Linked DNA regions of Arabidopsis thaliana. The main gene of each other region encodes a partner of the protein of the gene in region 2 in a complex. Each region holds a gene or a part of one and is shown on either strand. Other genes may lie near its edges.

Evidence for each region.
Region 1: rps18 (region 2) and AT1G64510 share a complex: the UniProt entries of both Arabidopsis thaliana proteins name them as parts of the 30S ribosomal subunit.
Region 3: rps18 (region 2) and EMB3137 share a complex: the UniProt entries of both Arabidopsis thaliana proteins name them as parts of the 30S ribosomal subunit.

The regions. Positions count from the first base shown.
Region 1 is NC_003070.9:23,954,303-23,958,188, forward strand, and holds AT1G64510 (Translation elongation factor EF1B/ribosomal protein S6 family protein), read right to left. Parts: upstream 2,003-3,886; 5' UTR 1,976-2,002; coding exon 1,523-1,975; intron 934-1,522; coding exon 691-933; 3' UTR 501-690; downstream 1-500. Other genes in the region: AT1G64500 (Glutaredoxin family protein), read left to right, coding at 1-74; RPN12a (regulatory particle non-ATPase 12A), read left to right, coding at 2,157-2,261, 2,562-2,640, 2,935-3,037, 3,118-3,381, 3,477-3,588, 3,678-3,818. UniProt on the Arabidopsis thaliana protein: Binds together with bS18 to 16S ribosomal RNA.
Region 2 is NC_000932.1:66,010-68,760, forward strand, and holds rps18 (ribosomal protein S18), read left to right. Parts: upstream 1-1,907; coding exon 1,908-2,213; downstream 2,214-2,751. Other genes in the region: petG (cytochrome b6/f complex subunit V), read left to right, coding at 1-102; psaJ (photosystem I subunit IX), read left to right, coding at 920-1,054; rpl33 (ribosomal protein L33), read left to right, coding at 1,479-1,679; rpl20 (ribosomal protein L20), read right to left, coding at 2,503-2,751.
Region 3 is NC_003076.8:4,616,718-4,620,871, forward strand, and holds EMB3137 (Ribosomal protein S13/S18 family), read right to left. Parts: upstream 2,265-4,154; 5' UTR 2,056-2,264; coding exon 1,939-2,055; intron 1,742-1,938; coding exon 1,517-1,741; coding exon of another isoform or gene 1,472-1,516; exon of another isoform or gene 1,290-1,471; coding exon 1,122-1,289; 3' UTR 706-1,121; downstream 1-705. Other genes in the region: CXE16 (carboxyesterase 16), read left to right, coding at 165-705; AT5G14330 (uncharacterized protein), read right to left, coding at 3,230-3,503, 3,722-3,834. UniProt on the Arabidopsis thaliana protein: Located at the top of the head of the 30S subunit, it contacts several helices of the 16S rRNA.

The DNA.
Region 1 (3,886 bases), on a different chromosome or scaffold from region 2:
GTGAAAGGTGGGAGAGGTGTGTCAAGTGTAATGAGAATGGATTGATTCGTTGTCCCGTGTGTTTTGTTAATTAAGAACATTATTAGTTTACACAAGCAAATAGAGGTGTGTCAAATATACTTTGTCCCGTTTGTTTTGTTATATGTATGTGACACGTTTGATTTTGTGGAATTGAAAATGATTTGAAACTATGCTAGGATTTTCATAAAATGTTAAAGCATGAACGTGAACCATTATAATGCTAAGCTTGCAAGGTCTCTCACTCGTATATGTTGATGGTTTTGATCAATTACGTAAAGGAGTTCAACAATCTCACTAATTTAAGTTTGGATCGTCAGAAGGTAAAAGCTGGCAAACAAAGTCACTTCTGCCTGAATACTTTACAAATTTGTTCTTTGTTGCTATTTTGTTTGATTGTTATGCATCCGTTGAGGATTTTGTGCTATGAAACAGAGTAATATGAATTCCATCATTATAGTAACTATGGCAAGTTAGTGTTAGTTAAAATCTTTTAATGAAAATGCATACAAGTATGCTTCTCAAACTTAGCTTTAAGAGTTTCTCACAGTTACATAAGAAAGCAGAGCAATGCACAAAAAAAGATACAAAAAAGATAGATTTACTTTTGTTCTTACAAAGAAACAAAAAAAGAATCTGACATTTTTCTCACATACACAATGTTCATGGTCTTCAGTTGTACTTCCTCTTCTTTATCTTGAAGGAAGATGATCGGATAATGTCATCGTCGGCAGTGAGAACGGTCTCGAGTGGAACTATTGATTCGGGTTTGGTGAAGTAAGTGAAGAGAAGGTAGATTCCATCCAAGTAAGTGTTGGTTTCTCCAGCTTTGTTCTTCTTTCTTATGCTGTAAGCCAACGGAATCACTCCTCTGTTAAACACTTCCACATACATTCCACCTCCTGCCACAAGCAACTGCCACACACACCAAAAAGAAATCCCAGCAACATAATGAATCTTTCAGAGTCTGCACCAACTAAAAACTTCCACTACTCCGAACATAAATTTCAGAATTCCTCATTAGATTAAACATGTGATATAGCGTAAAAGAACCCACGCGTAAACCACAAATGATAACTGTGTATTAGCTCGTTTCGAGCATCAAAGGACATTTCAAGAATTGAGTTAAAATGTTATGGTAAAACATGACTAAAAAACTAAGAAGTGCACTAAGGGCTCCTATCTTGTTTCAAATGGTTGAGACTTAAAGAATTCACAGCCCACAGAAGGATGAGATTTGCTCTTAGAAAGTTAAACTCTTTACTTCAATTTTAACAAGGAGTCGTCACAAACATTCAATTGATAGCTGCAAGTTACACAACTCTACATTGAAACCATTTTCTCTTGCTTTGTCATTAACGTGTAAGAACAGACACAAGATACAACTTTTAGTGATCTCTTACTCAACTTCTAATTGAATCCTAAAATCTCTTTCTCTCTCAAATAATCAAATTTCCCTCTGACATGAAACAGAAAACAGGTAAAGTTGGAGACTTTTACTTACCTCTTCGTATTTCTGGGTAAGACCAAGCCGTTCATCTTCAGACATGTCTGGTCTCAAAACCGCCATTGTTTCGTACTGCCTGAGCCCAGGTGGGCACTGAGGTTCCGGTTTGTCTTCAAGGGCAGTTGAGACTCCCGACCCGGAAGGAGAAGTCGGGTCATCATCCGACCCGAATCCACCTTCAAAGAAAGTTCCAGAGAAGTCAAGAGCCTGAGATTTCACCACAAATTGAGAGCCATCTCTCTTCTGTATCGAGGCACACATAGGTTTCGACTTGGAAATGAATGGCCTGAGAGAGTGGGAGAATGATAGCAGCGGCTGCGAAGATACATTAGGCAGAGGGCAAATTGTGGAATTTGATACACACAGCGAAGACGCCATTGTTGTGAGATTGTGAAAGCAAAGAGGAGATGAGAGAGTAAAATTTGGATAAGAGATGATGATGGTACACATTAGTCAGAATTCTATTGTACACCATGGGCCTTTTTAGGTTATTGGGCCTGTTAAAGGCCCGTTTTGTAAAGACAATTATTTCTATCTGTATTATTTGTCTTCGCGATCAAGCCAGTTCTCGGAGCAATCAAATCTATAAGAAAAGAATCGTCGCCGGTGAAGAGAAAAAACCATAGAAGCGATGGATCCGCAGCTAACTGAAGTTTCACAGCAGTTCGAGAGATTCAAGGCGGCGTTTGCGAGGAAGGATTACAATACCTGTAGCGATCTGTTGTCTCAGCTTAAGGTCTACATCTCTCTCTCTTCTTTGAACCCTAATTTGTTTCAATTCACTTCTTTGCATATCTGCTTATTGAACCAACTTTGGGAAAATTGATGGGTTATGTCGCGAGAGTTTAAATCTATGAGAGCTTTGATTTATTGAAGTGAGAATTTTTAGCATATAAGTGTGTTAAGGATCTTTTAGAAGAGCTAAGTGCTATGAAATTTTTAACTTTCTACTTTAAGGGATTGTTGGGATTGGTTTAGATTTACAATTTACTGGTGCGAGTCTCTGATGTCGCTGGGGTTTTGTTGTGTTCTTCAGGTTCTTCTTACCAAATTCACAAGTCTTCCTCCATTGTTCGAGAATTCACCTAATGCAGCCAAGGAATTGACTATTGCAAGTAAGTTTCTCTTTTTCATTATTGGTTTTACATGAGCTATTTGCTAGTAAGTTTAGAGTTTTGCTTTCAATTGCATGGAGTGTTTTGGATTTGTCTATTCTCATGAGTTATTTGTTAACTATACTTAAATACCACTGAAGAGTGTCTGAGGGATTGTACTGCTTTAGTTTGTCTGTCTATCCCTATATGTATACATTAATCGTTGAATGCTGCATTGGTTTGGATTGAGTTATTGGTAATTTTTGTTCTTATTGATTATCCGTTTCTAAAACTTTGACAATTGGTGTATTCTAGGGGACATTTATGAGCATGCTGTTGTTCTAAGCGTCAAAACCGAGGATCAAGATGCTTTTGAGAGAGATTTCTTCCAGCTGAAACCTTACTATGTGGATGCCAGGTAAAGAAAGAACCAACTGTCTGAACATTATCTTTTTCATTTTCTTTTGGTCTAACATATCTTCTTTTCCTCTGCACCAGGAACCGTATTCCTCAGTCTCCACAGGAGAATCTTATCCTGGGTCTTAACCTTCTGAGGCTGCTGGTACAAAATAGAATTGCTGAATTCCACACCGAGCTTGAATTACTTTCATCAGCTACACTAGAGGATCCTTGCATCAAGCATGCAGTAGAGCTTGAGCAATCCTTCATGGAGGGTGCCTATAACCGTGTGTTGAGTGCTAGACAGACCGCGCCTGATGCAACTTACGTCTATTTCATGGATCTCTTGGCAAAGACCATAAGGTAGCATCAATGAGTCTGTCCTTCTCTGAATTAGTTCAGTCTTATGTCTTCTCGCGTGTTATCTCACCTTTTTATTGTTATGACTGAATTCACAGAGATGAAATAGCTGGATGCAGCGAGAAAGCTTATGATTATGTCTCTATCAGCGATGCCCGGCAGATGTTGTTGTTCTCTTCTGATCAAGAACTCTTAACCTATGTCACAGATGTAAGAGAAAAAACATTTTGTGCAAAGTTTAGAATCTTTTTTAGTTTCATGAACCATTGACGCGATTTAGGTTTTATCAAATCTTATAGGAGCATCCTGAGTGGGAAGTGAAGGAAGGGTTTGTTGTCTTCCAGAAAGCCAAAGAAACTGCACCGTGCAAAGAGATTCCGTCTCTGCAACTCATCAACCAGACTCTAAGCTACGCCAGAGAGCTGGAGCGTATCGTGTAAGATTCGACTTTTCTCACTGCTTGTCTCTTCTCTTCTGTTATGTTCCTGGAAATCTCTGGGTCAGAAAA
Region 2 (2,751 bases):
TTTTTATTTGGAATCGTCTTAGGTCTAATTCCTATTACTTTGGCTGGATTATTCGTAACTGCTTATTTACAATACAGACGTGGTGATCAGTTGGACTTTTAATTAATTAACATCTCGTTTTTTTACTAACCTCCTTCTTGCTTTCCTATGCGGGAGGTCTAATTCAGACTGCTGCTCAGTAATTTGTGAACAGTGGAATTTTGATACAATCTATGAAATCACGCTCTGTAGGATTTGAACCTACGACATTGGGTTTTGGAGACCCACGTTCTACCGAACTGAACTAAGAGCGTTTTTCTTTTTTTTTTTTTCTAAAAAACGAAAAGGCTAGAAAGAGGGCATTCTTTAACCCGACTCGATTTTGTACGTATATACTATATCATACATAGTATATCATAAATTTCAGAATTAAATGTATGTCCGATAAAAAAAATTGATCAAAATAGATACCTCGTTACTGCTCTTCTGAGCAGTAATAGGTAGGGATGACAGGATTTGAACCCGTGACATTTTGTACCCAAAACAAACGCGCTACCAAGCTGCGCTACATCCCTTTCAATAGGTTTACAGTGTCATTGTAGAGAATTCCTGTCTTGTTTTCCACATCCTCCTTCTTTTTTATTGGTATATCAAATTCATTTCTTCTTTTTTTCTCATATCAGATAACAAAGATATAATTAAAAAATTTACTTTTTTTTTTTTTTTTATTCTCTCAATTTTACATAAATAGGCCTTTACGTTTTCAAATGGAATCGATAAGATCGTTCTAGTCGACAATATTAAAATTCTAATTTTGAAAGCGGGGGGACGGAAGTTACATATACAAATACAAGAACTTCTTAATTACATGTACATCTGTAATTATATATATTACTATATATAATGTAATACAATAAAGAAGAAAGAAGGAGGATTTCTAATGCGAGATCTAAAAACATATCTTTCCGTAGCACCGGTACTAAGTACTCTATGGTTCGGTTCGTTAGCAGGTTTATTAATAGAGATTAATCGTTTATTTCCAGATGCATTAACATTTCCCTTTTTTTCATTCTAGTTATTAACATCAGAAAGGGGTGAAAAATTTAGAGATACAATCAACAATCGGGGACTAACCCCCCCACCTTTTCTAATTAGTAGAATAAATTAGAAAAGGTGGGGGGGGGGGGGAAAGGTCATAAAAACGAGGGTTCAGGATCCAATGAAATTAGTAATAGAACGAAAAAAAGTGTTGCTAGGGAACCTATCAGATACTTAAAAAAACTACTGTACAAAGATTTTAAATATAGTTTTCACAAAATCATAAATCATTGTATTACTTATTTTTTTTATTTAATTACTAATAAATAAAATATTAATTGTAACGAAATATTTCAGAATTTTTTTTAGTTAACAGCTTCTATTTTTTTTGTTCTTGTTCTTTCTGGATCCTAAAATTAAAATAGAAGATTGAGGTGAATCATAAATCCAAAGGAGGTTTCATGGCCAAGGGTAAAGATGTTCGAGTAACAATTATTTTGGAATGTACCAGTTGTGTTCGAAATGATATTAAGAAAGAAGCCGCGGGAATTTCCAGATATATTACTCAAAAGAATCGGCATAACACCCCTAGTCGATTGGAATTGAGAAAATTCTGTCCCTATTGTTATAAACATACAATTCACGGGGAAATCAAGAAATAGATCAAATTGAGTGCTTGTATGTCAACTTTTATTTTAAGAACAGGAATAATGCTAGTATCTATATATTATTACATATATATAAATATAAACAAATAAATCAATAGAAAGAAATCTAATCCGATATTCTTAATTCTATATAGAAATTCTATCCTATATAGAAATAGAAATCGTTTTTATTTTGATCCGATCAAAATAGGATTTTAGAGATAAGGAATAAAAATAAAAATTATGAATAAATCTAAGCGACTTTTTACTAAATCCAAGCGATCTTTTCGTAGGCGTTTGCCCCCGATCCAATCGGGGGATCGAATTGATTATAGAAACATGAGTTTAATTAGTCGATTTATTAGTGAACAAGGAAAAATATTATCTAGACGGGTGAATAGAGTGACTTTAAAACAACAACGATTAATCACTATTGCTATAAAACAAGCTCGTATTTTATCTTTGTTACCTTTTCTTAATAATCAGAAACAATTTGAAAGAAGTGAGTCGACTCCTAGAACTACTAGTCTTAGAACCAGAAAAAAATAGACTTATTTTTCAATTGAATAACAATTCCAATCTGAAGGAATTAAAAAAGAGATTAATGTTTTGTTCAAAAAATCCAATCAAGAATAAAAATTTGATTGTTACGTCTGTGTCTATTATAAAAAAAAAAAGAAAAGAATCGTCGAAAAGCATAACTCGTTTTTTCGAAACTATATACTCTCGTTTTGTTTTGACGACTTTTTTTTTAATACTAATTTCTACTCTACCTTCCCCGAGCTCATTCTCCTTAGAACTCTATTTCAAATATTTTCGTGGATTTCTTCCAATCCCCTTATTTTTTTATGTCATTCGAAATTGTATAAAGACAACTCCTATTTAATAGAGCTATTTGTGCAAGTATTTTCCGATTAAGAAGTAATTGCTTCTTGTATAGATTGTGTATGAATTCATTATAACTATAGAATACCCCCATTTCGTGAATTACGGCATTTATTCGAGTGATCCATAAACGGCGAAAATCTCTTTTTCTTTTACCCCTATCCCGATGAGCCGAAACTAAAGCTCTTATTCTCTGTTGAGT
Region 3 (4,154 bases), on a different chromosome or scaffold from region 2:
AAGATCTTAAGAATAGTTTCATGTTGATCTAGGAGTAACTTGGTACAAAGTCAGGATTCTTTGGACAACTAGTTAGATGAACTAAGATAGCTTATCTTCCATTGATTGCAATCTCACATCAACTTCTGTGTCTCAACCTGTTGCTTCATATGATGTTAAAACAGATGTGTTCTTCTCGGGGTGAGCTGTGGTGGGAACATAGCAGACTATGTAGCTCGGAAAGCAGTGGAAGCTGGGAAACTTCTAGAACCGGTGAAAGTTGTTGCACAGGTTCTAATGTACCCCTTTTTCATTGGAAACAACCCAACACAGTCCGAAATAAAGCTGGCAAACTCTTACTTCTACGATAAGCCTGTCTCTGTTCTAGCCTGGAAACTCTTCTTACCAGAGAAAGAGTTCGACTTTGACCACCCGGCAGCAAACCCACTTGCCCATAACCGCAGTGGACCACCTCTGAAGCTAATGCCTCCAACACTTACAGTAGTAGCTGAGCATGACTGGATGAGAGACCGAGCCATTGCTTATTCAGAAGAGCTTAGAAAGGTAAACGTAGATTCTCCAGTTTTAGAATACAAAGACGCAGTTCATGAGTTTGCTACACTTGATATGCTTCTCAAGACTCCTCAGGCACAGGCCTGCGCCGAAGATATTGCCATTTGGGTCAAGAAATACATTTCACTCCGCGGCCATGAGTTCTCTTACTGAAAATTTTTACCCTGTTATTATTCATTTTCTTCCTTTTTTTTGTGTGATAGCAAGATTTTCTGGGTAGGATTAGAGACAATCCAAGATCGAGTCTTTTGGCAAAAGCTATAAAATTTTATTTTTTGGTTACTTATGTATTCATATGTACGTATTCTGAATAAACCATTTTTGGTTCGACCAAATTTTCAAGTTTGTTCTTGGTTTGTCATCATTCTTGAATGCTGAAATCTTCAACTTCTTTTGTAACTTTATAATGAATGATGAAGATACGGAATAATAATAGCTAAAAAGCCGAAGATAAACTGGAAAGGGCTCAGTTCGAACAAAGGTTTGGGAATTACAAATCACATTTAAACAGAGATGACTAGACAAACTAAAAAGAGTATTACAGAAGAAGAAGGAGATCATGAAGATGATTACTTGGAAACTTTCTTCTTCCCTGCAATAGCAATTTTCTTGCCTTTAAGAGTCCTGCAGTTGTTCTTGGTTCTCTGTCCCCGACATGGCAGCCCTTGGATGTGCCTTACCCCACGGTAACACTGGATCTCCTTCAACCTCTTGATTGCAAGAGCATTGAACCTCCTCTGCACAACATCCACAACACAAATCAATAATTCATTCACAAAGGCCTAAGAACCAAATCAAAACAAGAGGAAACCCAAACTAAAGCAATGAAAACACCAAATAGATAGCAGCCTAAGTTCTTCTCCAATCTTCAAGAAACTGCTCGAGAATGGACTGACAGAAACTGAAACTATGATGCACATTACTCATGTCCTAAAGTGTGTAAATGTAAGGGAAAGTGTATTACCAGATCACCCTCAATCATGTACTTGGAGACTTCATCACGAAGAATGATGAGTTCTTCCTCAGCCATGTCTTTAGTAATCTTGTTCTCCATCTGAAGATCAACAAGAATCTGACGAGCCCTAGTTCGACCAATCCCATGAATGTACTGAAGAGAGTACTCAATTCTCTTATTAGCCGGAATCTCCACTCCACCAACACGAGCACATCTGATGCTTAGACTCTGCTTCTGCATTTCATTACAAAAAAAAAAAAAAACTTTAAAAACACAGAGACAAATTCCCCCAAAAATTGATGGAGTGTTCTATAACCACCCCTAACCCAAAAATTGACGAACAAGAATGAAGTAACACATAAAAAAACATGAAGTCAAGCTCGATAAATTACAACATCATACGCAAGAGAGAGTCCAAGAGAAATGATTACATTGGGAGTGTTTGAAGCTGGGAGGGCAAGAGTGTTGCGAGAGAGAGGATTGGATTTTGCCCAATTGCAAATGAGTGAGAGCGAGTGCGCTACGGGCATCGCAACCATCTGCGCCATTGTTATGTTCTCTTCCTAGGAATTTCGGATTCTGGGAAACTAATTCAGAGGTGACGAAGAAGAAGAAGAAGATGAGCTGAACGGATAAGGCAAACGTCGAATCCAAACGCTTCTCTTGTTTTTGCTCCGTCTCTACTTACTCTATTCAATTAATTGCTTACAAAACTGGCAAAATAAATACTTGTTGGGCTTTGTTTTTTGTTGAGATAGGCTCGCTATTGTATAACACGGCCCAACTAGTGGACTATAACAAAAATGCAAAAACCGAGTGGACTATAATAAAGTGATACAACTATAAAATGAAAAAAAAAATGATTTACAGATATTTTCTTAACAACTAAGATGAATGGTGTGATCAATGACACACATTTGATCAGAAGACGAAAGGCATGAGCCTTGGCTCCATGTGGGCACGTAGCTATTGAGGATAGAGTCATGATAGAAAAAGATTGTATAAAAAAAATGGTAAGTGTATAGATGAAAAGTCAACGGATGAGAATGAGTCTTGTTAACTATTTATCGAGATGGTCGTTCACTTCGTTATTGTCACATGTTGTTGTATTTTAAGGTGTTTGGGGATTTTTTCCATCTTGCATATATATCTGATTCATTGGAGTTGTACACTTGTACTCATGGTTTTGTTGGCAAGTTTACTACAATATTTCGAGTGTTTTCATGATGTTTATTGTTTCGTACTTTACACATGAAACTAGTTTAAAGCTTGTCGTTCTTCTAATAAGGATATCACTCATTGATTTTGACACCAACGTCTGAATAGTGAATACACCATTATTTGTTGAGGCGTACCCATTACTGTCACGTAAGGCCTGCATTTCATTATTTTGTTTAGGCTGACCCAATTTATTTTATATATTTACTTCGGATATTTATCTATTCTATAACCTTAAGATGAATTAGTTGATTTTAAAAAGAAAGTCCACCTTTTCTCAAACGGGCCATTATAATGCCTTGATTAGAAGATTTGGTTCGAAAAAGAGGAAAATATGATTAAGATAATAAAAAAAACATCAAGAGATAAATGTTTTATTATGATAGGAACACAACATCACAATCTTTGAAGAATTAACAAAAAAAGAAGGAATACATGTGAAAATTAAAATAAAATCTCATAGAGAGTAAAACATATTCTGAAGATGAATGGCAACACATCTCATCAGAAGACGAAAGACATAGCAGCGACCAATGCGGTGGCGATGAGCTGAGGGTAGGCGGAGAAAGTGGCGGCACTTGGAGACGGAGCCTTAGCCATGGGTGGCATTGGAGCCATAGCCGGACCATGGTGGTGGGTTCCGTTGTGCGACTCAGCAGTCATGACCATCACGGCCAAGACAATGCAGATGAAGGCGAAGCGGATCAAAGAACTTCTTGGTGCCATTTGAATGTTCTTCTCCTTTTTCTTCTTATTTGGTTTCTTTCTTTGTTGTTCTCTGTATGATCTATCAACAAAGGGGGTCGAATTTATAGAGAGAGAGAGGGGTCCTATAAAAAATGTTTAGTGGGTTAAAAGTCAACGCATGTGAATGAGTCATGATGTTGAGACGACCTAAATTCGTTATAATTTACATGTTGTTTACTTGAATATTTAAAAAAATGGAAAAAAGGACAGAGTGATCATGGTTATGTGTTTGAATTTGTTAGTGGACACCCATTTATATGTTCGTGAATGTTCTGCCGTTCTGGAACAGCTGTTACATAAGAGGGACGTTTCTTGACTAAGCCAAATTGACCCGGTTTGATTAGGGATTGATTCCAATCCATGTTCTGTTGCCGGAGACCAAAGAAAATGGTGTCTTTTGTGAGGCCGATCAGGGGCTTTGGCTCTTGATGAAGTTCAAAAAGAATAGAAATGTTAGCGTTGGTGATAGTTTGATATTTCCAATAAAGCATTCCAACTGTACCAACAAGTTTTAAAGATCAAACATCCGAAAGTACTATACAATCATTCTTGAAACTTGAAAGCAAACCAGTAAAACTTAAAAAGTAACACCATGATTCTTTTAACTAAATTTAGCAAATGTTATTATTAATATGATTATTTATCTGTTTGAAAAAACTGTAATTCTAGTAAACAAACAAAT